Nothobranchius furzeri: one gene and its partners. The protein of the gene in region 1 interacts with the protein of each later gene in a pairwise test. Links are inferred from orthologs where the notes say so. Each region holds a gene or a part of one and is shown on either strand. Other genes may lie near its edges.

Region 1 (11,260 bases):
GCTATGCTAAGCAGCTTTTATGCCCTTGATGTCACCTGAACAAATTCAAATGCAAGTTTGGCAGTACAACTGAATAATTCTGTTCATCTTACAGCGCACAAATACTATTCTAGTTTCATATCTATGTTCACAACTGCTTGAAATGGCTAACCTAGCTTAGCTCACACAGACGTTAGCGCCTGCTAACACAGAAATAAGGACAGTGTATGAATCTGGCTGTCAGACCTATAAAACGTTTGAAATGGTAAAAAATAATAGCTGTCTCATTATAACCGGAGTGCAAAGCGTGCAGGTTCAACTTTTACTTACTTCAGAGGAAAGATAGCCAGGACGCTGCGCCATCTTTTCCTGCCGTCTCCCGGGTTTGAATCCTGCTTTTTCCAGTCAGACAACCACTCTGCCATCTAGTGGTCATTTCTTTTAACACATTAAGTTTTCATGGATCATAAACACATATGTCTAAATAAACAATTTTACATTATAAAAAAGTAAATTTAGGTCTATATTTTATAACTATAGAATCCTAAGATACCTTTTTTTCCCACAGAAAAACATCTTGCCCCTTAAATACAAGTTTAGACTACCGGTAAATCCAAAAATTTTGATTTTCCAGCTTCAACCCAGCTTTTGAACGCACCATGCACACAAATCAGTCAAGTGAGAAAAGTCTCAAAAGGATTTTTGTAAGTGTAAAATGATCTGTGTGTGATGTAGTATTGTTTGTGTGTACCACGTGATGTGTGCGTGTGTGTGTATTCAATGATTTGTATGTTTAGGAGCTGAAGTTACACACGAAAATGTAAACACAAGTTACAAATCAAGAGTTATACACACACAAATCTAGATACAAACACATTTAGATACACACAAATCTAGACGCACACACAAATCTTTAGTCACGCACACACAAATATTGATACACACCTAAATTTAGACACACATGCACAAATCTTTTGAAACTTTTTTCTCCCCATAACATTTCACATTAACTAAATTAACTCGTTATTTTTCACAGCACTAATATATATATAAATTAAAAACAATTATATAATAATAATTATTATTATTATTATAAAAATTAACAATATATTTATTCTATTCAATTCAAAAATGCTTTATTAATCCCAGAGTGAAATTGATTGCTGTAGTAGCTCAGAATAATAATAATAATCAAGTCATCAAAGAGTTATTGTATATATTACAATGGCTGTTGGCAGGAAGGATCTCCAGTAGCGGTCAGTGTTGCAGCGAAACTGAAGAAGCCTCTGACTGAAGACACTCTTCTGTTGTCGACAGTCTTGTGAAGAGAATGCTCAGGGTTGTCCATAATTTTCTTGATTCTCTGGAGAATCCTTCTTTGCATTATCTCCTCCAGCGGTTCTGAAACTGCCGAAACTCTGGCTGAGTCCTCGAAAGGGCTTGGAGTTCCTCCATCTTGTTGGCCAGTGATCTCACATTGCCCATTATGATCGATGGAAGAGATGGTTTGTATTTCCTCTTTCTCTGTCTCCGTTTTGCTCCCGCTCTGCATTCACGCTTCTTGCATTTTAGCTCATTTGGGATTCATGGCTTCACTTGAGGTATTATTTCAGCCTTTCCAATGTTAATCAGCCACTCCCGTTTGTAAACCAGCTTGTTGCCATGGTTACACATCATAACAAATGCTCAAAAAGTGAAAAAGCTCAACAATAGCAGTAAAAATCCTCCAAGCTTTACAAAAAAAACTTGTTTATCAATCTTGTGATTTTATTTTGTGAGTTAAATACATCTCCTCGCATGTAAACTGTCCCACTGTTATTGCGCACACACATAAAGTGGCGCTTCCCTGTCCGGTGCATTCTGGGAGTTGTGGTCGGACTTGTAAAGTGAATTTTCTGTCTTTCAGCATGGTTTATGACACATTCAAAACCACAGCAACCTCACTTTGGAAAGCATGTTAATACAGTTGTGTAACTAAGCTGCTAAATGATTGAAACCCATTTTTAATAGATGGATTTTAAACAGGCTGTAAGCTAACCTTGCAAAACAACGCTATGCTAAGCAGCTTTTATGCCCTTGATGTCACCTGAACAAATTCAAATGCAAGTCTGGCAGTACAACTGAATAATTCTGTTCATCTTACAGCGCACAAATACTATTCTAGTTTCATATCTATGTTCACAGCAGCTTGAAATAGCTAACCTAGCTTAGCTCACACAGACGTTAGCGCCTGCTAACACAGAAATAAGGACAGTGTATGAATCTGGCTGTCAGACCTATAAAACGTTTGAAATGGTCAAGAATAATATCTGTCTCATTATAACCGGAGTGCAAAGCGTGCAGGTTTAGAGGAAAGATCGCCAGGACGCCCCGCCATCTTCGCCTGCCGTCTCCCGGGTTTGAATCCTGCTTTTTCCAGTCAGACAACCACTCTGCCATCTAGTGGTCATTTCTTATAACACTTTGACTAAGTTTTCGTGGATCAGAAACACATATATGTCTAAATGAACAATTTTAGATTATTAAAAAGAAAATTTAGGTCTATCTTTTATAACTACAGAATCCTAAGAAAATTCAGAAAAGTCTCAAAAGGATTGTTGTAAGTGTAAACTGATCTGTGTGTGATGTAGTTTTGTCTTGATTTGTGTGTGTGTGTATTCAATGATTTGTATGTTTAGGAGCTGAAGTTACACACGAAAATTTAAACACAAGTTACAAATCAAGAGTTACACATACACAAATCTAGACGCACACATTTAGATACACATAAATCTAGACACACACACACACAAATTTAGACACACATGCACAAATCTTTTGAAAAAATTTTCTCCCCATAATATAACGTTTCACATTAATTAACTAAAATAACATGTTATTTATCACAGCACTAATATATTCAATTCAATTCAAATACAAAAATGCTTTATTAATCCCAGAGGGAAATTGATTGCTGTAGTAGCTCAGAATAATAATAATAATCAAGTCATCAAAGAGTTATTGTATATTACAATGGCTGTTGGCAGGAAGGATCTCCAGTAGCGGTCAGTGTTGCAGCGAAACTGAAGAAGCCTCTGACTGAAGACACTCTTCCGTTGTCGGACAGTCTTGTGAAGAGAATGCTCAGGGTTGTCCATAATTTTCTTGATTCTCTGGAGAATCCTTCTTTGCATTATCTCCTCCAGCGGTTCTGAAACTGCCGAAACTCTGGCTGAGTCCTTGAAAGGGCTTGGAGTTCCTCCATCTTGTTGGCCAGTGATCTCACATTGCCCATTACGATCGATGGAGTGTCACGGTGTAGGAGGTGGAGACGGCGGACCATGTGTGGATGAGCTGAGCAGGAGGTAAAAATGCAGGCTTCAGTAAAAGTAAAAAAAAAAGGTTTAATGGCAGGATGGGATGAACAGGAACACCAACAAACAACAACAATGATCTGACAAAGGACAGGGGCAAAACAGGTGGTATAAATACAGAGGGCTAATTAGGGAAACATGGGCAGGTAAACGAGGGACAGGTGAGAACAATAAGGGCAATCATGGCAGGAGAAGAACACAGTCAGGCGGGCAGGGGCAGATCGTGACATGGAGGAGATGGTTTGTATTTCCTCTTTGTCTCCGTTTTGCTCCCGCTCTGCATTCACACTTCTTGCGTGTTAGCTCATTTGGGATTCATGGCTTCACTTGAGGTATTATTTCAGCCTTTCCAATGTTATTCAGCCGCTCAGATTGTTAACCAGCTTGTTGCCATGGTTACACATCATAACAAATGCTCAAAAAGTGAAAAAAGCTCAACAATAGCAGTAAAAATCCTCCAAGCTTCACCAAAAAAACTTGTTTATCAATCTTGTGATTTTATTTTGTGAGTTAAATACATCTCCTCGCATGTAAACTGTCCCACTGTTATTGTGCGCACACATAAAGTGGCGCTTCCCTGTCCGGTGCATTCTGGGAGTTGTGGTCGGGCTTGTTCAGTGAATTTTCTGTCTTTCAGCATGGTTTATAACACATTCAAAACAACAGCAACTTCACTTTGGCACGCATGTTAATACAGTTGTGTAACTAAGCTGCTAAATGATTGAAACCCATTTTTAATAGATGGATTTTAAACAGGCTGTAAGCTAACCTTGCAAAACAATGCTATGCTAAGCAGCTTTTATGCCCTTGATGTCACCTGAACAAATTCAAATGCAAGTTTGGCAGTACAACTGAATAATTCTGTTCATCTTACAGCGCACAAATACTATTCTAGTTTCATATCTATGTTCACAACAGCTTGAAATGGCTAACCTAGCTTAGCTCACACAGACGTTAGCGCCTGCTAACACAGAAATAAGGACAGTGTATGAATCTGGCTGTCAGACCTATAAAACGTTTGAAATGGTCAAAAATAATAGCTGTCTCATTATAACCGGAGTGCAAAGCGTGCAGGTTCAACTTTTACTTACTTCAGAGGAAAGATCGCCAGGACGCTGCGCCATCTTTTCCTGCCGTCTCCCGGGTTTGAATCCTTTTTCCAGTCAGACAACCACTCTGCCATCTAGTGGTCATTTCTTTTAACACATTAAGTTTTCATGGATCATAAACACATATATGTCTAAATAAACAATTTTACATTATTAAAAAGTAAATTTAGGTCTATATTTTATAACTACAGAATCCTGGGTTGTTGTAATTGTATATATGTGTGTGTCTATGGTGTGTGTGTATTTATATATATGTTTAATGTGTGCGTGTGCGTGTGCGTGTGTGTGTTATTTACATGAGTGCTCCAGCCTGCCGGCTTCATATACAATATATGTCCTAGAGCTGGTGAGCAGATTGATTATAAAAGCCAGCAACACAGGAGCTACAACCAGAGGAGTAGCCAACAGAGACTGTAAAACACCAAAATACAAAACATCATTTGGTCAATCCTCGTTCTCATTTAAAGAACCTCAGATCTGGAACAATCTACCATCAACAAAAAAACTGTGACACTTTACAACTTTTAACTCCCAGGCAAAAAAGTGGCTGAAACAAACTCAAACTTGTAAGCACTGATGTTTCTTAGTCAAACTAATTTATCTGCTTTGTGTGTGTGTGTGTGTGTGTGTGTGTGTGTGCGTGCGTGCGTGCGTGCGTGTGTGTGTGCGTGCGTGCGTGCGTGTGTGTGTGTGTGTGTGTGTGTGTGTGTGTGTGTGTGTGTGTGTGTGTGTGTGTGTGAGAGAGAGAGAGAGAGAGAGAGAGAGAGAGAGAGAGAGAGATGACAAATGTTATAAATGATGTTATTTTGATTATATCTAAAAGTCAAACCAAGGACTAGGTTTGCAAATTAGCCTCTGGCTAGAAAACCTCTGTACAAAGCAAAGCAACGGTTGCATTGCCATTACATGCAACAATTGTCTCTTGTGCTGTCCTTGTTCAAGAAAGCAAATAAATAAAATAAAGAATATTTTTGCATGGATTGAACCTATGCGTCAATAGATCAAAATGTACTTTTTTAAGACACAGCGAAATCTGTGCAATGACGACAGAGCCAGTAGTTAGCACTCTAATATTCATTTCCACATCTGTCATTGTAATGAAATACACCTTTGAGTTTTCGAGCTGAACATGAACGCATCATTCTGTAGCGTGGCGGGGGCGGACCGTATGACGTTGAGCCGAGACTCTTGCTGTTTATTGTTCCTTCCTGAGAACCGACACAGAAAAACAGGCTAACGAGCTGTCAGACACTCTTCTTAGACGGTTCGCACTTGGTTTTACGAAGGTGTAACGGTTGAGACAGCTGACTGCAAACCCTAGAGGCCATGGCGTATGCATATCTCTTCAAATACATCATCATCGGGGACACGGGTAAGCTGCAGTTAGCGTTTAGCTAGTATTTAGCTGCTAGCGGCGTATTTCCGCAGTGTTGGATAGTCCAATGACGTGGGAAAAGCAGAGACGCAAGGGGTGGGATGACAGCTCTAATTCTTCCCCAATAAGTTACCTGTTTACTTCAAAAATTCTCACTGGCGGTATCAGAACAGTAAAAGAGGAGTTCAGTCACGATTTTTCCCGTCCACACTATAATGTAGCCGTTGTGGACATACTGTTAGATGTTTTGGCCTTTTGTCCATTGACGTGTAGGGTGGGGGTGTTAGCCTCAGCTTGCTAACCAAACCAGTCAATGTCCACCCAACACCTGTCACGACATCAAATTAACATCCTAATCTGTGTCCATACATACAGGCCTCAAAAGCATGTTTGCGTTATAGAGCCACCCATCGTCAATAACACTGTTACCATTAGCTTAGCTTTAGGCCTAAAGCCTCGGATGTAGCCTGAAATGGCGTAGAAATCTCAGACTTGATCCAATGTCTCCTGTTAACACGACGTTTATATTTTACGAGGCTGTGTGAATTTGTAAGGTGTTGTTTCCTAAACATGTCCAGTGATTAAGAGATAATAGCCTCAATTCACTTTTACTAGGATGCTCTGATGAGGGGCCTGTTGAGTTAACTTGCGGGATGACAGCAGGTGCATTACAAATACCGCTGTTTTATTAAGATGTAGCATCATTGTCAGACTAGCTGACTGGTTTGATGGCAGTAAAGTAAAACAAAAGGGCTCAGGATCATTCACATCAAAGAAATTGGAGATATTCCGTCTAAAGCAGTCAATTTTACTTTTTAATATTTTATATTTTATATATATATATAATAGGGTCTCTAATGACCTTCTGACTCACGGTGATGCAGGGGACTGTTCTGTTCTGGTCCTGCTGGACCTGACTGCAGCCTTTGACACCGTTGACCATCACCTGCTAGTGGAGAGGCTGAGAGACTGGGTAGGCCTATCAGGAACTGCTCTGGAGTGGATCTCCTCTTATCTTTCTGAGCGCTCCTTTTCTGTGGCCGTCTCCAAGTTTAGGTCCTCCACCACCTCTCTTACCCATGGTGTCCCACAAGGTTCTGTGCTTGGGCCTCTGCTCTTCCTCCTCTATCTGCTTCCTCTTTAGCACATCCTGAGCTTCTTCAAAGGAGTCTCCTACCATCTTTATGCAGATGACATCCAACTGTACATCTCCTTTAAGTCCCATGAGATGTCTAAGCTGCAGCTGTTACACACCTGCTTAGACTCTATCAAAACCTGGATATGGGAGCTTTCTACAGCTGAATGAAGATAAGACTGAGATCCTCATCTGTGCCCCAGACAAGCTGGTTCCCAAAGTCAGAGACTCTTCCTTCTTCCATCTCAGGAACATTGCTAAGCTGAGTCCCATTCTGTCCCGATCTGAATTTGAGACAGTTATACACACCTTCATCTCCTCACGCTTAGACTTCTGTAACTCTATTTTCACGTGTCTGAGAAGAACCTCCCTCAACCGTCTGCAGGTGGTTCAGAATGCTTGTGCTCGGCTTCTGACCAAGTCCTCCAAACACACCCACATCACCCCGCTTCTCCTCCAGCTTCACTGGCTGCCAGTCAACTTCAGGGTTCATTTCAAGATCCTGGTTCTGGTCTATAGGGCCTTACATGGACAAGCACCATCGTACATTGGTGATATTCTTAGTCCCTACACCCCCAGCAGGTCCCTGAGGTCCAGTGATCAAAGCCTACTGGTTGTGCAGCGCACCAGGCTAAAGACCAAAGGTGACAGATCATTTGCTGCTGTGGCCCCAGACTCTGGAACTCTCTCCCCCTGAGCCTGAGATCAGTGGACTCAGTGGTCTCCTTTAAAAAGCAGCTGAAGACTCACTTGTTCAAGCTGGCTTTTGTATGACCTTCTTCACCACTCTCTCTTTATTCTGCTCTCCCCACCTATTCCACCTTCCTCAGGATCCACTGATTTCCCTCTTTCCTATTCACTCTCTCTCTTTACATTTTTTTAATCACAATTGTCTATTATTTGCTAATTTTAAATATATTTTTAACCATTTTCTAAATTCTTTTTTATATTTTTACATTTTTTGTTTTTGTGAAGCGCCTCGTGACTTTTATCTTGAGAGACGCTATAGAAATGATACTTTCTTTTTCTTCTTCTTTTTCAATGAGGGCACCGATTAGACCAGTGATTATGTAGAAAATAATAAAATTGTAAAAGTTATACATCTAGAGGGAAGATTTCTCTCCCTGCTTTCTCTCACACAAATGTAAAACCATTGTAGGTCATTAATTAACCCCTTTGGTGGGCTGCATATTTATTACAGGCATCTTGCAAAACAGGATCATGTTGGGGATGTTGTTTATTTCTAGTACTGAATGTTGTGTTGAGCTGTAGCCAGGCTCCTAGCTTGGTTACAAGTATGTTTGTGCCACATACTCTCAGTTCTTATTAGGAGTGTAACGGTACACTAAACTTGTATTCGGTTCAGTTCAGTGTTTTGAAGGGCTCGGCTTGATTAATTTTCGGTACATTATTATTAGATGTATTTATTTATTTAATATCTGAAGCTGCTCCTATAGTGAGCAGAACCAGGTGTCATCACAGGCTGCTAATCTAGCATGATGTATGTAATTATTTCACAGGTTATTTGCGCCACAGACATATATACATAGATGTCTCGTGGACTGACGCTGTCTATTGGAGATGCCGTAATGGCCGACCGCCTTAGATAGATTAGCCCCCAGTGCATTCATTTGTACTGAGGAAGGGGCTTACCCAACAAAAAAACATGTTTTATCAAGCTTTTTCACAAAATCAAACACAAGATATGGCATTCTAATTAAAATATAATAAAATTAAATATAAATATTAAATATAAAATCCTATCAGGTAGTCTAGAAAAGTCACTAGTAATCCCACGTGATCTGTTTTCAATTGTATGCTGGTTGTAACTGTAGGCTGCACAGAAAGGGGCATAGTTGCTCACTCTGCATTGACTTTGGAAAGTGAGGAGACCCATCCAACATGGCGGCGGCGACGCTGTTACACTCTCCAGCGCCCAATGGGGCATCTACATATTCATGCCTATGATTTGCGCAGCTCACTCATACAGACGAGTGTTGTGTTTGACGTGTTTTATTTCTTAAAAACTCACCTCACACCGCCTAGTATTTCTTCTTTAAAACTCGTGTTAAATAATGAGCGTCATCCGCAACATATGTTTCATTGTAGGATGAAAATTTTACATCAGTTGTCACAGCGGAAAAGTTCAGCAGACATGTTTGTTTACATGTTTGCCGCTGCGTGCCTGCACACTGAGAGAAGGGAGGGTGAGGCGACACGATGCTCAGTCTCTACCATCGACATATATATATATACGGTCGCTACACAGACTCCACAGTAGCAGCGATAGCCAGTTGGTATGATCTGCTTTGAAACACGTTGATCAGAATTTGCAGATCACATTTTTTAAATGGAGACCGGGCGCATGCAGCCATCATGCGTCACTCAGTACAGCGTCCGTGCGGAAACGCCAAGAAACTTTTATCCGCTGCACTTAAGGCACACAAATGTGTAAAAATTTCATTATTTAATGGAAAAAATACACCTAAACAGTACGCAAGTGGACCGAACTGCCTGAACCGAAACGGTTCAAATAACCCTCGTGAACCGTTACACCCCTAGTTCTTATGATTATGTCAACATAAGTGGGTTTCCTTAACCAGGTGATTTGTGGATAACACTTTAAAAGCATTTCTTGATGCAAATTAAGGGGTTGGTAAATCTCATCTGTGTGTTTCTGTGTCTTGTTTTGTACGGATTTAATTCACCCGACACACACACTTAAAATGTGGGTGATGATCTGTGTTTATTTTTATTTAATCACACGCTAGTTATTAAACCTGTTTCAAGGGAGTTGATCTATAGCTGATCTACTGATTCAAACCAAATCTTATGCCGTAAGGTGAAGCATTTGTACTTAATTCAGAGATTGTTGAAAACTTTTGTAAAACGTTCAGGCTCTTTCAGTTTTGTCGTTACACGTGCCGTACAGCCAGTTAGTTGTCCAACAGGACTAGAGATGTTTGTCGAATTCCACCATTTCATTCCTACAAATATCTCAAAGCAAAAACTTGGAGAATGTGTAACGACTTATTGTCGGTCTGCTTTGAGATTTTATGCAGGAAACAACCCAAAATATATTTTTAGATCAAATGTTGAATAAAAGTTCATTCGGGTGGCTCTGCTTTGGTTCTTTTAAGCTATCACAGTTCCAAGTTGCTCCTGTTTAATGAATTGTTTTAATTTTTAGTTAAGAAGTTGCTAATTTTTAATTAACTCTGCAACATAGTTATCTGTCCAGAGTTGTGGGTGTGTCGCTGACATTTTCAAAAATTAATATTAGGTCAGGTATAGGAAACGGCTTTAGTGTTTGATGATGTATAACACTGTGAGTATGCAGGGTCACCCCCGGTCACGTGTCCTCCTAATTGTTTATTATCAGTAAATACATAATTGGAGAAACCTGTTTTGCTTCCATCTAGAGCTGAAACGATTCCTCGAGTACCTCGAATAATTCGAGTACAAAAAATCCTCGAGTCAAATTCTCTGCCTCGAGGCTTCGTTTAATTCATGTTTAATTAATTCATGGCTTTGCTTATATTCGGCAGACACTGTGTGACTTTTTCATTTGTAGCACTTGGTTTCAGCTCACACCGTATGTCTGGTAGCAACACGTCGGTCTTAAAATGTGCTAAAAATAGCAGTTTTTACAACACATCAGACTTTTTATTGTGTTGTTGTTGATGTCTGTTGTCCCTCAGGATTGCTGCAGGAGAACACAGGTATTTATGAGAGTGGCGGAGGAAAACGAAAGAAAGTAAATAGATGTTTTATGATCAGTATAATTTGACATAACCACGGCAAACATGCTTTCGACAATCCTTGTTAGTGTGAGACAAAAAGTGTAGAAATTAAAACGGACGTGTGTTAATAGGGAAACAGCTGGCGAGCCATGCTTGCGCATGCGCCATGAGCAGTTCTGGTGCTGTTAGGGCCGCAGCCGCTCGCATTTGTTTACTGTAAAGTAAAGTTGAAGTGCTGAAGTTTTGAAAACTAATTTTGAATAAACCTTGAAGAATAACTGGCAATTGCTTGCTCATTTCAAGAGGTCTTTTATATTTTATAACATGCTATTTGATATAAGGGTTTACGAACGCAAAAGTAATTTAGAGTACTCGATTAATCGATAAAAGATTCGATAGAGTACTCGATTACAAAAATATTCGATAGCTGCAGCCCTACTTCCATCCAGTGTGGAGAGGGTTGGACTTTGCTCTGTTGTGTAAGGAAGCAGCTGGGACGTACAGGTACAAATGACTTTAGACTGACCTGTTCTCAGTCTTTACAGAACATACACTTAAATCTGAGT
Region 2 (6,362 bases), on another chromosome or scaffold:
GTGATAAAGAATACTTTATTTGCCTTTACATACTAACCCGTGTTCCAGTTAAGGGCAAAGTCACTATGCGTGGACATGTTTGGATATGTTTCCCTCCAACCAGAATAAAGCCCATGATGTGCGTTGAAATGCATTCGTTTTGTTACTGAAGAGTTTGGATCGGTGATGGATCGGTTACGATTGTTCGGGGCTAACAGAAACAACTAAAACACTGATCAGAGTTTGGCTGATTGTTGTGAAGTTAAGATTTCCCATTTATCCTGAATGCGTTCGGAAGTGACGGTTTCGGGGTTCGACCACCAGGTGGCGGTGTTTCTACTGAAAACTTCCTGTAAAGAACGAAAACAGAAGAAGATCCCGGACCAGTGGAGCTCTGTCGGCGCTAGCTCCACCATGTCACGGTGACCATGTCGGTGTGAACGGAAACTGTTTTCCTAGAAACGTTTCTGTTTCCAGACGGAGTCTTTAGGATGGCAGGCGAGGAGGAGCGGGGGGTGGTTCGTGTCAAAGTCAAGGTAGGATGTTAACCGCGCGCCGCTGGCGGCTAACGACGCCGTTGTCCCGGTTCGGTCTTGTGTTTATTTCTGTCAGACACACGCGGAGAAAACAATAAACTCGGACAGAAACACAATTATCTGCTTATGGGAGAAGAAGGAGTGAGTCTGTGGGGAACCCAGGCCGTGTGTGTGTGTGTGTCGGTCGTTTGTTTGTTTGTTTGTTGTGGCTCTGAAACCTGCGGCGGTGACAGCAGCAGGAGCTGATCGATCATCTCCGAGTCTCAGCTCGTTCTGATCGATTCCCATTTCTGTCGTTCTTTGTGATTATTGTCCAACTCGGAGCAGTTCGCCGAAGCTGCGGGCTGACGTCACCTCGCTGCTCCGTGTGACGTCAAATGTTACCTGGAGAGGAAGAGCCACGAGAGGAATTTTATTTCAGCCTCCATCCTGACGTCATTACTTTATCTTAGAAGTTCCTCCTGATGTTCTGAAGGTTTTATTTAGTCAAAACGTTTATTTGTTTATTTATTTATTTACTTGTGGTTAACGTCTCTTAGCTTCGACCTTTGACCTCCAGGGCTGAACACACATCAGGTTCGGCTACAGCTGCTCTTGTTTGAGCTGAATGGAGAAAGGGTTCATTAATGCAAGCTCCCATCACCAAGCTGCAGTTACAGATAAAACATCTGTTGTTTACTCATAAACATGGTCCCACGGTGGTTAATGTCTGCGTTCTCATCAGCGGCGTTCAGACCCAGCTTTGTTCTCCAAAGCCTGTCCCGGTCTCACCCAGATGTTCCACTGATCTGATTCCTTCCAGAAATGTGACGGCGCTCTTCCTGTCGAGTTTCGCTCCTTTGCTGTGGATCCTCAGATCACGTCTCTGGAGGTTCTGCAGCACATCCTGATCCGAGCCTTCGACCTGAACGGGTAGGAGGTGACTTCCATCCCAACACGCTGCCGAGGGCTTGTGGATAAACCTTTTGTCTGTTTGCTGAATCAAACCAGGAAGCGGAACTTCAGCATCAGCTACTTGTCCCGGGATCGGAGCGGAGTGGAGACGCACCTGTCTCTGCTGTCGGACTGGGATCTGGACGTGGCGTTTATGAGCGCAGCTAAACCGTTCCTGCAGCTGAAGATGGACGTGAAGCCTTCAGAGGACAGTAAGGACCCAGAGTTGTCCAAAAGCACGAGGGGAGGGAATAGAACTTCATCCTTTTCTTTTTACCTGCAGGTCCAGTCATGGAGGACTGGGACATCATCAGTCCCAAAGACGTGATTGGCTCTGAGCTGCTTACTGAGAGGACCAGGACGTTGGCTTCTGCAGCTCTCCCCTTCACCCAGTCCTTACTGTCCCAGGTCAGCAGGTCACCAGTAGTGGGTGGGTGGGTGGTGGGTGCATAAAAATCAGAATGCTTTTCTTTAAACTTCACTTGAAGTCCAACTTCAGACACCTTCTCATCCAAAATAAGTTTCTGTCACGTCAAACGGGTCGTCCGTACCTGTTTACAGGTGGGTCGGACCCTGTCTCGAGTCCAGCAGGCCTTCACCTGGTCCTATGGGGAGGAGATCAGACCTTTCAAACCTCCGCTGAGCGACTCGGAGTTCCACAGCTACCTGAACGGACAGGGCCAGCTGACCCGGCCGGAAGAACTACGGCTGAGGATCTACCACGGTGGCGTGGAGCCGTCGCTACGAAAGGTTTCTGCTCCTGTTCCGCTAACGCTCGGTTCTACGGGCTCCTGGAGGTGGTTTAGGCTAGAACGTCCAGATTCAGAGGGCAGAACGTCTCCTTCGCTCGTCGTTCTGGAGGTGCCGAGGTCTCCTAGTGGGTTTGGTCCACGAGAGCCCAAAACGCCCAACAGCTCTCCTCGTTCAGGACTTCAGTCAGAACTTTAGATGTTCGCCGGCTGAGTCCAGCAGACGTCAAATCGATGAACAAGAAAAACGTTTCTAATTCACTCGTTGGTGTAAATGACAGAAATGCGTTGTAACCATGAGAGATGAGATTCCATAGGAAATATGAAATCAACCTTATGGATCTTTGGGTACTTTTAACCAGAAGACTGGAACTTTTTATTGCAGGGATTATGTAACAGCTTCATATTCACTCAGAGACAACAGAAGAGAGTCAAGTTTAAAAGTTTAAAGATTTATTACTAAACAAATCAAAACTAGACTAACTTAAACACTAGATGTATGGTGTAACTAAGGTGGATGAGATGGAGAATGGTGTGATGTGGAATGTTGTTCAGAACCAGCAAATCCGGAGGAACGATTAGTTCTGATGGAAGTGAAGGTGATGTCTTCACGCTAAGCTTTGGTTTGGAGATTCATAAACACACATTGAGACGCCATCCTGTCGCTCTACGTACCCTTTCGGAAGTCCCCGTTAGATCAGGAATGTCGAGGTCCAGCTTGACCTTGTGGACCTGAAGCCGGTAGAAAAGCAGCGGTTGCCGACCAGACCAGTCTTGAGATACTTCCGGGTCACGACAGTTTTGTTGGCATCTAGTGAGACCCAAACCTGGGTCGTGATGGTTCAGCTTTTATTCTGAAAGGAACCGTTGCAGCAGTTGGAACAGCAACAGGTTTATCCAGCTTGTCGTTGGTTCTTTCGGCTGAAGAGGAAAGTTACGGATTGGCCACTCCGACAACTTCTCTAGAACGTGTTGAACTGGCGTTAAAGATGGCGTGGGCATAGTTTTATACTTCGGATGTTTTGGTTTACGGTCGAATGAAAAGATGACAGATTTACCAAGCACCACCAAAACCCCGCCTCCGTCAGATCTGGCAGATTCTGATTGGATCAGTGAAAGTAATGTGTCGTCTCTCAACGCTACGTGAGATCAGTCCTAGTGGAAACATTTAAAGTCATATTACTTATTATATTCTATAGGATTATAATAAAGTAATTAATATTTTCATTTCACAGATTGGTCACATTGGGGGGGTGACTTTTAGGTGGAAAACAGTCATTTCATTCCGTTACGGTGTGACTGAACCAGAAACAGAGTGTTTGTCTCCGTCAGGTGGTGTGGCGCTACCTCCTGAACGTCTATCCCGACGGACTGAGCGGGCAGGAGAGGATGGACTACATGAAGAGGAAGACGAGGGAGTACGAGCAGCTGAAGAGGGAGTGGACGGCCCGGGTCAGCCACGAGGAGCTGGAGTTCATCCGTGGAAACGTTCTGAAGGACGTCCTGAGGACGGATCGAGCTCACTCGTACTACGCCGGCTCAGAGGACAGTCCACACCTGACCGCCCTCACCGACCTGCTCACCGCGTTCGCCATCACGCACCCTCAGGTGAGTCCATCACATGACCTCGTCCCTAAAGAGACGCTGATCATCAGGCGTCCTGCTGCTTCACCACCAGGTGTTCAAACTTCTTTACTGCTGCTTTTTATTCACAATTCCCAAATATTCCCAAACATTCCAGAACGTTCTGGAGTTCAGACAGACGATGAGTCTTTGTAGAACTTTCGGCTTCAGGTCGGATCTGTAAAACATTTTTCATGAGCTGTCTTTGTCCCGGTGTCTAACGGACTTGTGGAATTCTGGGATGTTTTCCAGATCTCCTACTGCCAGGGCATGAGTGACATCGCCTCTCCCATCCTAGCAGTCATGGACAACGAGGCACATGCCTTCATCTGCTTCTGCGGCATCATGAAACGCGTGGAGGGAAACTTCCGACCAGACGGGCAGCTCATGTCCGTCAAGTTCCAGCACCTGAAGCTTCTCCTGCAGTACTCGGATCCGGAATTCTACACCTACCTGGTGTCCCGAGGAGCCGACGACCTCTTCTTCTGCTACCGCTGGCTTCTCCTGGAGCTGAAGCGAGAGTTTGCGTTCGACGATGCTCTGCGGATGCTGGAGGTGACCTGGAGCTCCCTGCCCCCGGATCCTCCTGAAACGGAAGTGGAGCTCCTGGGACCGCTGGTGGAGGCCGAACAAACGGCCTTTAGAGGGGGGACCCTGGAAAATGTCCATAGAGATGATGAGGGACAAAAGGAGAAGCAGCGTCGGCGGCACATGCTGAGGCCTTCCAGAGGAGAGCCGGAGGTGCGCAGAATCCTCGCTGAAGAGAAGGAGGCGCGAGCCGGAGACGCTGGGAGGGAAAACGACGCTCCAGAAACCGCGGAGGAGTCGGAATCCCGGCGTCGCTGCTGCCAGAGACAACCCAGCTTTGGAGAGTTTAAATACTACACCGCTCGGAGTGAAGACAGCATGGACATGGAGGACGCTGACACGGCGAGGGACAAGCCAAGGCGCCAGTCCACCGTGGACAGCGAGGACGACCCAGGAGAACAGACGCCTCTCATTACAAACTGTCCAAACGGTCCCTCTCCAGCACCGTCACGCTCCCTCTTCCCCGGTGGACTTCCAGCCTGGAAAAACGGACATTCCGTCTCTCCTTCATCTTCAGTTTCAAACTCCGGCTGGCCAGGAGTTTCTCCCGACTCTCCTCCCGATCCCACATCTCCGGCCAGCGGAGGCGAGGCCTCGTCAAAGACTGTCCCTAAAGTGTGGACTTCTCCGGTCCCGGTGCTGAGCACCGCAGAGACCAGCTGTCCTCCTGTGAAAACCTCCCCCTCTCACGGTCCCAGCAGGTCCCTGCTGTCCTCTCCCGTCCTGTCCTTCGGAGGCAGCAGGTTGTCTTCTCCGGGCCCCAGGTCCCCCAGCGCCGCCGCCAGCACGCCCGGCTCCCTGAAGGCGGAGACCACCAGCATCAAACCCTGCTCTCTACCTCCTCCTCAGGAGTTCGGGAAGGGAAACCCCTTCATGCTGTTCCTGTGCTTGTCCATCCTGCTGGAGCACCGGGACCACATCATCAAGAACAACCTGGACTACAACGAGATCGCCATGCACTTCGACCGCCTGGTGCGCCGCCACAACCTCGGCAGGGTTCTGCAGCGGGCCAAGGCCCTGTTCGCCGACTATCTGCAGAGTGAGGTTTGGGACTCGGAGGAAGGAGACGAGGTGAGCTCGGACTCTCCGACCACAGCGGCTCCTCCGTCCCCGTCTCCGTCCCTCTCCACGCGGCCCGTTTACAGCCCTTTAGCTTCACCCCCGTCGTCACCAAACTCCACCTACAACCTCAGCGCCACCGTTCCCCTCTCGGTTTCTTCCACTTCCTGATTCCGTCCTGCAGCTTTGGACTTCACCGTGGTCGGACTCTGAGGTTCCGTTTGCCTCCTGATGTTGGGCCGGGCTCGTCCCGCGTGCCTGCTGACGTGTATTCCCGCCTGTAATCATCATATCCTTTGTTTTGTGAGGGCGTCGACTCTGCTGCTGCCGCCGCCGCTGCTGCAGCCGCTGCTGCTGCTGCTGCCGCTCCTGCTGCTGCTGCTGCTGCAGCCGTTCCTGCTGCTGCTGCCGCTCCTGCTGCTGCTGCTGCTGCTGCTGCTGCTGTCGCTCCTGCTGCTGCTGCTGCTGCTGCCGCTCCTGCTGCTGCTGCCGCCGCCGCTGCTGCAGACGCATGAAGTTTAAATTGTGACAGCTGAAGCTCACTCGGCTTGCCTGGATTCTGAAGGACCGCGGAGTCTTGTCGGTGCATTCGGCCTTTCTCTGATCTTTGTTTATGTTTTGGTTTCGTGTCCGGAAACCCAGGAGGAGGGTTCAGGAGTCTGCTTTTACATCTCCAGCAGAACCTGGCCAGGTTGTGGGTAATGAATCTCATGGCTGCTGTTGATGTGCGTCTCCGAAGTTCCGCCGGGGTCTCCGGACCCTCGACGGGGCGGGCGTAGCCGCTGGCGCTCTCTCAGCAGGTGTGCCGAAGCCTTAAAGGGAGACTCCACTCAGCCTGTGTGAACGTCACAAATCATTCCCATCTTGTTCTTGGCTTCCTGAATGGCCTCGGTTC
Region 3 (11,142 bases), on another chromosome or scaffold:
AGACGTGCGACCACAGCCGTGCTGTCTGTTTGAACATCTCTGGATTTTGTTTGTACTGGAAATTCAAACCAGAAAACACTGACTGCAACATTATACCTTACAAAAACAACAATTATTATTGATATTATTTTGAACCATAATTTTGAACCATAATTACCAAAAGGGTAAATCTACCCAAAATTAAACATTAACCCTGGAAGTCGGGCCCACCTGATTTGCTACTACTGCATCCTGTGGATCATCTGGTTCTGCTGCAGCAAGAAGGGCCTGTAGAGACAGCAGCACCGTCCTGAGGGTCATCGCAGCTGCCCTGGGTGAGACAGGTGAGATGTCGGAGTAGATACACAAGACAGTTGACCACTGAAGCCCAGAGATCACCAAGCTTTCACCCTCCACACTCACCACTGGTCCTTTAAAATGTCCAGACATATTGCTCCGGTCACTGAACTGATGTTAGGATGCCAGATCTTGGTAATAAAACGCACCTGAAGCAAGTGAGCAAGAAAAGATTATTTAGCATATATGTTTTAAAAGAAACAGAAAACCAGTCATTTTCATCAGCATGACATACGTAACATCTTACACTTCATTTACATCTGTACCTACAATAATGTTAAATGTTCTGTTGTCACACTTGTTTTTCCTGCTGAGCCGCTGCAAACGGATAACTACCTCATTAGATCTCATATGTGAACAATAAAAACATTCTCAGATCAGTACTCATGGATGCAAACTGAGGACATTCAGGAAGCTACAACAGATATGAGTAGTTATTTATAAAGTTTAAACACAAAACAGCCAAAATGGATTCCCTAAACACATTTTTGTCACTGAATGGCTCCAACTTAGGTAGTTGCATCACCGCTGATTCAAAGGTGAGTGACCAGAAAATGTCTCCCAACTCAGCATTTCAAGAATTTGCTTCCACTAGTCATCTGATGTTTGATTCAAACAAGTAATAAGGGCATAAGACAGACTCACTATTGCAGAGGGACATTTACCTTTGGTGGGTTAAAAGGGTATGTTTCTGGGATTTTTATTTCAAGTTGATATCTGCCACCTTGGAGAGAGACCACACAAAAAGAAACGTTGAGAGTAAATGAATGAAATGATCTGAGTGTTGTGTAGGAGAGAGATGGTACCTTCGTACGGCGTGTCTGGAGGTCCTGCTATCTCCCCCCTCAGCTCTGTGAAGTTCTCATCCACTAAATCAACTTTAATCTGGTTTTTACTTGTCTGAGGATTGGGACAAAAACAGGGACACCAAAAGCATTTTTTACCATCCCTAGTTCCCATTTACATGTGAAAGGTGGTTAAATGCGGAAACTGTAATGTTCGTTTGATTGGTCCATTTATAGCAGTTACAGTAAAACCAGGACGTCTACATTAGCAAAGCAGACCACTAGCTGCTAGAGCACAGCGAGACACCGTTGTCTACAGATGATCTAAAACACACCTTAAAAGGCAAAATAAAGACGGTTTATAAAGAACCGGGAACAATAATTTCAAACAGATTAGGTTTATCGACGTTTACGTTTCAACACAACATGCTAATGCTAACTAGATGAGATGTCATAACACCGTTTCCCCAGCTAGTCAAAAGCTGCTGCGTAGAAATGACAATATTAGTGAATACAGAAAGAACAATGGTGGCTACTTTTCATACGAGGCTTGTTACATTTTTCTAAAAAAGTATGTGGTGTTGTTGTTGGTCACATTGGGCCTGTCGGGTGATAGAGCTCAATCCCCGGTGTTTCCTGAACACACACCCCTGGCACAGCAGGAGAGCTCCGGGCATTTGTGAGGCTAAAGCTAGCTAAAGTTCTGACTGCTAGGGCCTGACCTGCTGCTGCATTACAGACTTCAGGTTATTTTGTTTCCCATAATTGTTGCTGTCACAGTAAGAGTTTATCACGATCTAAACCAAATACAACCCAGATAGTGTAAGAACAAACTGTGGTAGAGACTCACCTCTTCGCTCTTGAGAACTTCTTTAAACTCTCGCTTAATCCTTTGGACTGCGATGTTAGCCATGGCTGAGTGTGTCTGTGGAGCTAGTGCTGCCTCTGAGGTAGGTAGACCCGGTGTTCTGAGAAAACGTCCTACTTTGGCAAAACGTCCTACCTGTGGGCTAATTTTACGGTCTGGGCTCCACTCACGGTGGCGCGCGCGCGTGTATGTGTTTGAACACAGCAACAGGTGAATTAACCTAAAAAATTACATTTTAAATAAAATTTGGAATAACATTTTAAATAACTGAAATGTACTGTTCTGAAATATTTGTGTTTGTAAAATCAAGTTAAATGTTTTGGATACATGCTGCTTTTTAATGAAAATGAATAAAGGAGCTATGCAACACATCACCACAGGCTAAACTCTCCCAGAGTTGTCACAAGGACCAATTTGGTGTGCCACCCCAAAAAACTGTTTGGCCCCATCTGGCCACCCCTATCAAAATTTTCTGGAGGTGCCCCTGGCTTCAGTGCAGTCCATTACACACTGGGAGAGTCTTGGCCATGAAACAGCTTCCTCTCTTAACTCGCGAGATCACAAAATCCCTCAAGACTTCAAAAGTCATGTTTTTTTAAATGCAATCTGCTATTAAACAAAAGAGAAGGAAATCGTGTTTTGCTGTTTGATGTCATATTTGATTATCCTCTCCACTGCCAGGATTAAAGCCCTGGAAAAAACACGGCTACCATTCTAGAACGATGCATGGAGCCGCAAAAACTCTGTGCAGCCCGGTATCAAATGACCCAAGGACCAGTACCGGTCCATGGCCCGGAGATTGGGGACCTCTGATCTAAAAGAACAATCATGGGGTGACTAAGTTATAGAAAGTTAAAGCTGTTGATTTATCTTCTGTAGGCTTTCATTTAGTGAGCAGCTGTGATTAGCAGCAACACCTACAGATGATCAGACCTGCTGCATCAGTGCCACGACCTGGTGAAACAGCTAACTAGGATGAGCATCGGTCAGAATTACTGCCTAAAAGTAACTTCAGGGTAGTTTCATTTTGCGTTTCATGGCGATGACGTAGATGTTTCAAAAACCAAAACTGTTGGGACCCTTTTCTTTAAATGATTCTAAGAAGTTAACTTTAATGACCTGCTGCACACCTGAAGTGTTAATAGATTCATAGTAGATGTCTGGAGAAATGTCCAGTCTCCCTAATGAATGATGAAACAACTATCTATTAGGTGTTTTATCACCGTGTGTGTGTGTGTGTGTGTGTGTGTGTGTGTGTGTGTGTGTGTGTGTGTGTGTAGCGAGTTAAACTTATCATGTTTTAGGGACAACAGAACGTTTTATGAAGTTTAGAGGTGAAGAGTGAAGCTGTTTACACACACAACCACAGAAGTTCTGCTGTGAAAAGTAGTTTTACATTCAGGGATTTACACAGCTGACACGTTTTATTTAAGTAAAAAGTTTGTGTGAAGAATATAATTTTTATCTTCTCATGTGGATAAATGTAAAACTGTGTTTATTGCCTTTTTGTCACCTGTGCTCTGATTTTCTCTGTAGGACTGCAGGTGTCCAGGGTCAGGACAGTCTTTACCTGTTGGTCCTCCTGGGAGAGAGGCCTTCTACTGTAATCATGTTAATGTTATTTAGCTGTTTGATATTTGAACACGTTTATTAAAACAAATACTAACTGATAACTCTTTCTGGTCATTGATTTTATCACCAATTTTATTAATTACAGATGCTTTTGAACATGTTACATGAACAGAAAATGAAAAGATGGTAAGGAGACAAGATTATTTATAATAGGTTACACTTATTTACAGATCAAAACCAGTATGGACCAGTTTTGTACGGTTAAAGCAGGATTAACCTGAGTGACTCTTCCTGGATCATTTATTTAAACTGAGTGAGCAGGAAGTCTTTAACAGTGCAGCTGGATCTGCTGCAGGAGAATCCAGACGTGGATGGAGGGCTGGAGCAGACCCGTGGCTGGACGTTTCTGGCCAGAGGAACATCATACAGGACGGTCTGCAGAGAGAGCTTTGGGACGCTTCCTCTCACTGTCCACTCCATCGTCCATCTACAGGACCTGCTGGGCTGGCTCAGACGACGGCTGTTACATCTCTAAGATGTATTCAGAAATATGAAATGAGGAGATGGTTTATGGATCCACTGGTATAACAATTGTGACTCTTCAGCAAATTAAACCACAGTGTTGTTTTTAATAAAGGTTCCTACATAAATGACTTGCCTGTTAACAGTAGTGGTGGTCTGCTGGGACCTCCTCCAGGACAGAGCGCCACTGACCTCCTCCACACACATCTTCCTCAGGCCCATCCTCCAGGCCTAAAACTTCACCAGCACAGATGCAGATGTGCAGCACGGTGCATGCTGAATGCCTGTAATAGATTAAAAGAGTTTTTTTTTTGAAAAATGTAAAACAAAACATATAACCTGCAGTACACTGGTTCTGTTCAGTTTAAAGAAAAGCAGCAGGGAATAGTTAAAAACTACAGAGAATTTACATTTTAACACAGATCTAATCATTAGGCTTAAGTTGAATAAACAAATGCACATTGAAAACACTATTTTATTAATAAGCCTGTTTTTAAAGCATTTTACCCCCATTTGATGCAAAATAAGAAGTTCTAAGGTCCAATTTACATTAGAAAACATCCGACTGCATTTAACATTTCTAATGGATTTGGTTTATATTAATTACCTCTGTACACTGTGTTGTGTATGTTTAACAAGTTCATTCTGTAGCTTAAAACATACACGAAACGATCTAAAGTTAACATGTAAGTCCTGAAGACTTTTAGAATAAAAAAAAATTACTTTACCGGAAAACGTTTGTGAACAAACGCTGCTGATGGACGTGAAGCTGCTGTAGCTCCTTAATATTCCTGCTCGATTTTCGCTAGCTTTAGCATTTTTCCTTTTGCGCGTAGCTGCCGCCACGGCTGAGACGGGACCTACAGGCCACCGTAGAGGTGAAGGCCGCAGCGCTGCCCGACGAGCGGTGGCGCCGCCATCTTGGATTGGTCAAGACCCCGCGGTTCGACAGTGAAACATCTTGGCAGCGTTTACTCTTTGACGCTTACAGTGCTCCGCGACCTGCCGACGTGGCGGGGCGGAAGACGCTGTGCTGGCTGGTACTGAACGGGTGAGCTGTGCTCTTTCTGGAAAACAAAATCATCTGAGGTTTACAACTTTCCGTGTTCGTTTAAACTACAGCGCTAAAAAGCTGCAACTAAACAAACTAAAATAATGTAGTGACTTAAGTAAAGTACTGGAAATGCGATGGCGTAACTTGTCATGAGGAATTCTTGATTTATTGGCTTATAGACACAAAATAACAATGGTGTTTTCTGTTGGTCTCTAAGTTTTCACTCCTTTGTTCTGCTGCTATTATAGTGTTTCTGAACGGGATTAAAATGAAGCAGATTTATTTTAAAAAGACATCTGTAGAAAATTATTTATGGAAAAGTTTACTGCTCTATACCGATTGGATTTTTTTTAAATTTGTGCTTGAAGGGAAAATTGTTAATCTGTGTTCACCATCCGAAAAAAATGTGTGTTTATTTAAAAAATAAACTTTAAAATAATGAAATTCAACTCTACACATTTATATAGTATATTTTTCATAGCATGTTGTGCATACACACAATTTAAGATAAGGCTTTACTGATTTTGTCTTTTGACATTTAGTTAAATAACTTATTCCTGCCTGTAAACAAACAAAACTAACTCAAATCAAAGAGGGTGACATTATGTCTTATGAATGTATTTGCAGAAAGTGACCACAAGGTGGCGACATTGTTTATCCATTTTAATCAGTGTTTCCTTTTATATTTTAGACACAAAAGGGTTCTGTAGGATGATCGTCTCAGGGCAGGATGTTTTTATTTAGGTTGTTCTGCAAACAATACAATGATTAAAATGTAATGAGTTCTTTACATCCCCTCTCAAACATTTAGCTCACAGTATGGTTAAGTTTTATTTTAACCACCATGGTAATGTGAGAAAAGTTGCTAACTGTTTTTATGCACATGAATTGATCTGCATTTTTGATGGTATTTAATCTGGGCTGAAGGACTGGCTGTGTTTTCCAGTTCACTTATTTAGTCTAAAGGAGAATATATTACTTGTTTTTGCTTCTCAAGGGATTTAAATGTCCTGCTTTGGGACATTGAGAAAGATCCGTTATAGCTCATGCGTTGCTTAGCGGGTCCATCCTGTTTCAGATCACCATGTCCCAGGCTTCCCGCTCTGATGCAGAGCCCTGCACTGACAGCAGGACTCCATCTGATCTGGGTCTCTGTCAGGATGTCCCAGTGTCCTCTGAGCACCCGTCCCCTTCACCAAAGCCTCCTCTCATCCCCACGATTGTTGAACTTCAGTTGTCCGCTGAGCAGACAGCAGAAGAGGATACGAGCGCCAAACCTGACCCATCAGAGGATCGGCCGCAGCCCCCTGCTGAAAATCAGCTGACTGAATGTGACCAACCAGTGAGCCTGGAGCCAGAGGCCGACGGGTCAAAAGAGGAGGTGAATGTTTGCTTTTTGTTAGTGTTTCTTAAGTCGGTGACCTCTAGCCCCTCAGGTAAAATATTTTTTTAAATCAGTGTTTTAAGGGCAAAGATTTAAAATTCATACACAATTTTCTGTAAGACCTGGTTTATCTACAACTGACACACCCACAATATTCCCTCTGTGCATCCGTTGATTACTGACCTGGGGATCTAGCTGCACACTAACACATCAGACTGCTCTCATACCAAACGCTGAGCTCAGATCAGCTGTTTATTCATCTCTTTTGCTGGATCAATAAAGTTAATAAAGCCAGTGAATCCTATTGGATTGGGGTGTTTGCTCATTATGACTTTAACTGACTAATGTTCACTCAGGAGGAGAAGAAGAGAACCCGCTGTGTTCTCTTAGCCTCCAGACTTCCACTTGGACATTACTGATGTCTAAACGAGGGAAGTCTGAAAGCTTTTGTTCATTCAGACAGTGTTTTTGATCAAAAATGTTCTATTTTTACTATTTATAAACTAAACAAGTGTCTCTCAATAAAAACCTGTTAGCATCTCTGCATTATAAACATAGTAAGTGACTTATTTAAATGTCCCTGTGTGGACAGATGTCTCTCCAGCAGAAAAGCTGGGGAGGTTGGAGTTCATGGGGGAAATCTCTCCTGAGCAGTGCCACCTCCACCGTTGGTACGACTCCTATTTTAACTTGTAATACCTCATTTTATTACTGTCCCCCTCCACACACTCATCCACCATGTCTTTGACTTTCTGCGTGCAGGGCAGAGTCTGACCTCTGTTAAGGTCAAGGCAGGAGAGGCTCTTCGTCTCCACAAGGCCTCGGTAGGTGAGGAGGCTCAGGAGGTGGAGGAGGAGGAGGGCGATGGAGGTGGAGCAGAACAGGAGGATGGGGGAGAAGGTGGCCATGTTGACCTGTCCAACTCAGAGGAGTGTTCAACATCAGGTGCTGCTCCTGCTGCAGCTTCAAGCAGAGGCGTCTTCTCTACAATCACAAATGCAATGCAGAACACTGTGAGCACACACACACACACACACACACACACACACACACACACACACACACACACACACACATTTAGCATGATGGAAGTTCAGAACTAAGCGGTGTGATCTTTCGTGTTGTGCTTTTCCTGCCTCTACAGGGTAAGTCGGTAATCAGTGGAGGTCTGGATGCTTTGGAGTTCATTGGAAAGAAGACCATGACTGTTCTCGCAGAAAGTGACCCTGGGTTTAAAAAGACTAAGACCCTGATGCAGAAAACTGCCTCGCTGAGTCAGGCATGCACAAACCAGTCCATCTACCTCTGAGTGAGAAAACCCAGCGCCAAACGTCTGTGCTCTGTTTCAGATGTTGAAGGAGGCGAAGGAGAAGGAGCGTGCACGTCTGAACAACCAGCCTGTCAGCGCACCCACCGCTCACTACGGGATTCTTTTTGATGACTACCAGGGTTTGTCACACCTGGAGGCCCTGGAGATTCTGTCTAATGAGAGCGAAGCTCAAGTAAAGCAGCAGACACTACCGGTCAGAAAGTGTCTGTTTAGTCATGGTGAACGTAACGCGCTGTGTTCACGCTTAGGTCCAAGCCTTCCTGTCCGCTCTGGCGGAGGAAGAGCAGGATGAGGTGAAGAAGGAGCTGATCTTCATCAGAGACATTTTCATCAAGCAGCAAGAAGAAGAGGAAGGAGAGGCAAACGGAGGACAGACGAAGGATAATGGTGATCTAAGTTCCCAAACACAATGTTCTACCCCTCTATGTGAGTGATCCAGAGCAGCCAGAGGTAGAGCCGTCCCTGAGCACTGACCCAGGATCAGGTGGTCTTAGGAGGCTTGATAAAAGCAGTCTGACATGATTATAGGTGAACTTTGAACTTCAGCCATTATTGATGCATCATGTGCTACTGGCAGGTTTTAGACTCAGCCGGACAACAAAACATCTCTTCATGAGGTTACGCTTTACTCCAGACAAGCTCTTTTTTTATGTGAATGTTGGTTTAGGGTTCCAGTGATGATCAAATTCTATATTTATATTTATTTTACTCTGCAGACACTTATTTAGCATGCATGCTTTTGGTCTGTGGGAGGAAACCAGAGAACTCTGAGATCCCACGCAGGTTCATAGAGAAAAGCTGCAGCCAGGATTCAAACCTTGCTGCGAAGTAACCATGCTGCCCACTGCACCACCATGCAACAAACTGAAAACTCATTTCATACAAAACATCACATGTGTGATCTGCTACCGCTCACATTATATGAGCTACTAACACCCAGAGTGAGAGCCATTTTTGTGTTCGCCAACGCTGATTAGCTATAGCGGCCATCTTGAAATGGGTTGTGATCCAGTGTCGGTGTTCAGGGACCAGCGTCACACTCACCTTGACGAAAGACACTAGAAACAATCCACAATCAAAACATGCATGTGTGCCGTGCATCTAAACGTAATTGTGATAAATTGTTGAATTAATTTGGCATGAAAAGATCAATCGGGTACCTGCACAGATCCTTTGAATCCATGCATGGAGGGAGTCCAAACGTGGGCGTGTCAGAGCTAGATTTTAATGTGTGAGCTAATCTCTGCTGACTGGTTTGTCTGTTCTTATCAGCTGCTGATGGTGAGGAGTTTGTCAGCGTTCTCACTGAGCTGCTGTTTGAGCTTCATGTTGCTGCAACACCAGACAAACTCAACAAGGTAACACGAGTTTGACCATTTTAGTTAAAACCAGTTTGGATGTGAGGACTCATCATTTCACCAAATATAAAAATTACAGTCATCAATGATGACTCATCCCGAACACACATTCTTGGCCTTGCTGGCATCCTGCTGCAGTTTTAGAGACAATATTAAATAAAGTCATCACCTCTGCAAATCTCCAGCATTATAACATTCCCGTTCATAGAAGTGACATTAGCATCGAATCGTGGACATGCATCTCATCAGCATACATCAGCTCTTAGCATGCAGCGCTGATGGGTGGTAATTATGCATCTCCAGGCTCGAATGAGGGCCCATGAATGGGTGAACAAGGTGGAGCAGCCTGTCACTACGGATACGGTTGTCAGGGAAACGCAGGACAAGCCAGGAGGAGAGGACTCCCCTGGAGAGAGCCAGGAGGAGAAGAAAGATGGAGAGGAGCTGCAGGAGAGGAACGAAGATAAGAAAGCAAAAGAGAGTGACGCCAGATCAGTAGAGGTCATCTCATGATTTAGTTTACCTTCTTCATGCAGCCAGTGTCCTCCTCGGCAGTCTCACTGTGTGTGTTTGGTTTTTGTTGTTTGTCTTTCCCTCTGTAGGTTGTGTACATGTCGTCAGTCGGCAGCCTGGCGGAGGTGACTGCTCGCAGTATCGAGCAGCTCCACAAGGTGGCAGAACTCATCCTCCATGGTCAGGATCTGGAGAAACCAGCGAGGGACCAGGCCCAGATCCTCACCAGGTACATGCACTGGTATTCAAACACACGTCATGAGAAACAGACTTACTTTAAAGACATTCCCACTAAGGAATTTCACCCATGGAAATAACTCTCATTAATGTGATGTCCTGTGGTGGGACGGGAGTAAACCTGTTCTTGTGTACTTTGGGTCTTTGGTGACATTTGTAGAACTTTGGTCTGGGAACATTTCTGTTAAGCTAAAGACGTTGAACTTTTTGGCAGAGTGAGGTTACAGCATGTGTGAATCACGGGGAAAGACTGAACGCTGCAGTACAATAATCCGTGTTTGGTATTCCAGGTTGACGTGTGCCATGTGTGCGGAGGTAGACTGTTTGTGCAAGAGCTTCTCTGATGCTCTCCTTCTTGTTGGGGTGAGTCTGACTCAATACAGTTTGAACTTTTAGTATTTTAAACGTGTCAGTAGAGTAATTTATGATAAATGACCCGCACTTGTAAAGCGCCTTTCAGTGTCAGAGGACTCCAAAGCGCTTTACACTACAGTGTATCATTCATCCTTTCACACACACACACACACACACACACACACACACACACACACACACACACACACACACACACACACACACACACACACACACACACACACACCTGCTACCTACAGTAAAACACGGTGGTGGTTCCATAATGCAGTGGGCTGTGTGGCCAGTGCAGGGACTGGGAATCTTGTTAAAGTTGAGGAATGAATGGATTCCACTCAATATCAGCAGACTCTGGAGACCAATGACCAGGAATCGGTGACAAAGCCGAAGTTCCACCAGGGCTGGATGTTTTACCAAGATGACCCTAAACACTGCTCAACATCCACTAAGGCGTTCATGCAGAGGAACAAGTAGAACATTCTGGAATGGCCATCTCCTTCCCCAGACCTGAATGTTATTGAAAATAACTAGTTCAAACAGTTTAGATGCAGAGGCATCAAAGGCCTTGAGCAATATCTCAAGGAGATTAGTTCTTCATGAGGAGAGAGATGACCTTTAGGTGGAAAACAGTCCCTTCATGACGCTACACTGTGGTGTGAGTTAAAGAGAGCTGTCCATGCTCAGAAGCCATTAAACCTGAATAGTTTTATATCCATTCAGTTAAATCTTACTGAATCCACTGGAGACATCGGTCAGCCCTAATCCACCAGTGTTGCTGGATGTCTTTCAGGCCCAGAGGAAAGCAGAGGAG

The links.
Region 2: the proteins of rab2a (region 1) and tbc1d25 interact in binary tests that used the Homo sapiens proteins (3 or more experiments, as listed by UniProt). The link is inferred for Nothobranchius furzeri from reciprocal best matches to the Homo sapiens genes RAB2A and TBC1D25.
Region 3: the proteins of rab2a (region 1) and fam114a1 interact in binary tests that used the Homo sapiens proteins (3 or more experiments, as listed by UniProt). The two-hybrid records come from large-scale screens. The link is inferred for Nothobranchius furzeri from reciprocal best matches to the Homo sapiens genes RAB2A and FAM114A1.

Annotation. Positions count from the first base shown.
Region 1 is NC_091751.1:59,001,684-59,012,943, reverse strand, and holds the start of rab2a (ras-related protein Rab-2A), read left to right. Parts: upstream 1-5,594; 5' UTR 5,595-5,767; coding exon 5,768-5,813; intron 5,814-11,260.
Region 2 is NC_091755.1:45,663,492-45,669,853, reverse strand, and holds tbc1d25 (TBC1 domain family member 25), read left to right. Parts: upstream 1-334; 5' UTR 335-470; coding exon 471-515; intron 516-1,317; coding exon 1,318-1,427; intron 1,428-1,505; coding exon 1,506-1,660; intron 1,661-1,731; coding exon 1,732-1,856; intron 1,857-2,009; coding exon 2,010-2,198; intron 2,199-3,529; coding exon 3,530-3,805; intron 3,806-4,072; coding exon 4,073-5,638; 3' UTR 5,639-5,862; downstream 5,863-6,362. UniProt on the Homo sapiens protein: Acts as a GTPase-activating protein specific for RAB33B. Involved in the regulation of autophagosome maturation, the process in which autophagosomes fuse with endosomes and lysosomes.
Region 3 is NC_091747.1:79,447,141-79,458,282, reverse strand, and holds the start of fam114a1 (protein NOXP20), read left to right. Parts: upstream 1-5,012; 5' UTR 5,013-5,134; intron 5,135-6,215; 5' UTR 6,216-6,221; coding exon 6,222-6,518; intron 6,519-7,113; coding exon 7,114-7,192; intron 7,193-7,283; coding exon 7,284-7,534; intron 7,535-7,665; coding exon 7,666-7,800; intron 7,801-7,870; coding exon 7,871-8,023; intron 8,024-8,099; coding exon 8,100-8,277; intron 8,278-9,123; coding exon 9,124-9,209; intron 9,210-9,512; coding exon 9,513-9,710; intron 9,711-9,811; coding exon 9,812-9,951; intron 9,952-10,249; coding exon 10,250-10,322; intron 10,323-11,121; coding exon 11,122-11,142. Other genes in the region: ube2kb (ubiquitin-conjugating enzyme E2Kb (UBC1 homolog, yeast)), read right to left, coding at 1-55, 211-310, 403-485, 1,002-1,060, 1,143-1,236, 1,972-2,034. UniProt on the Homo sapiens protein: May play a role in neuronal cell development.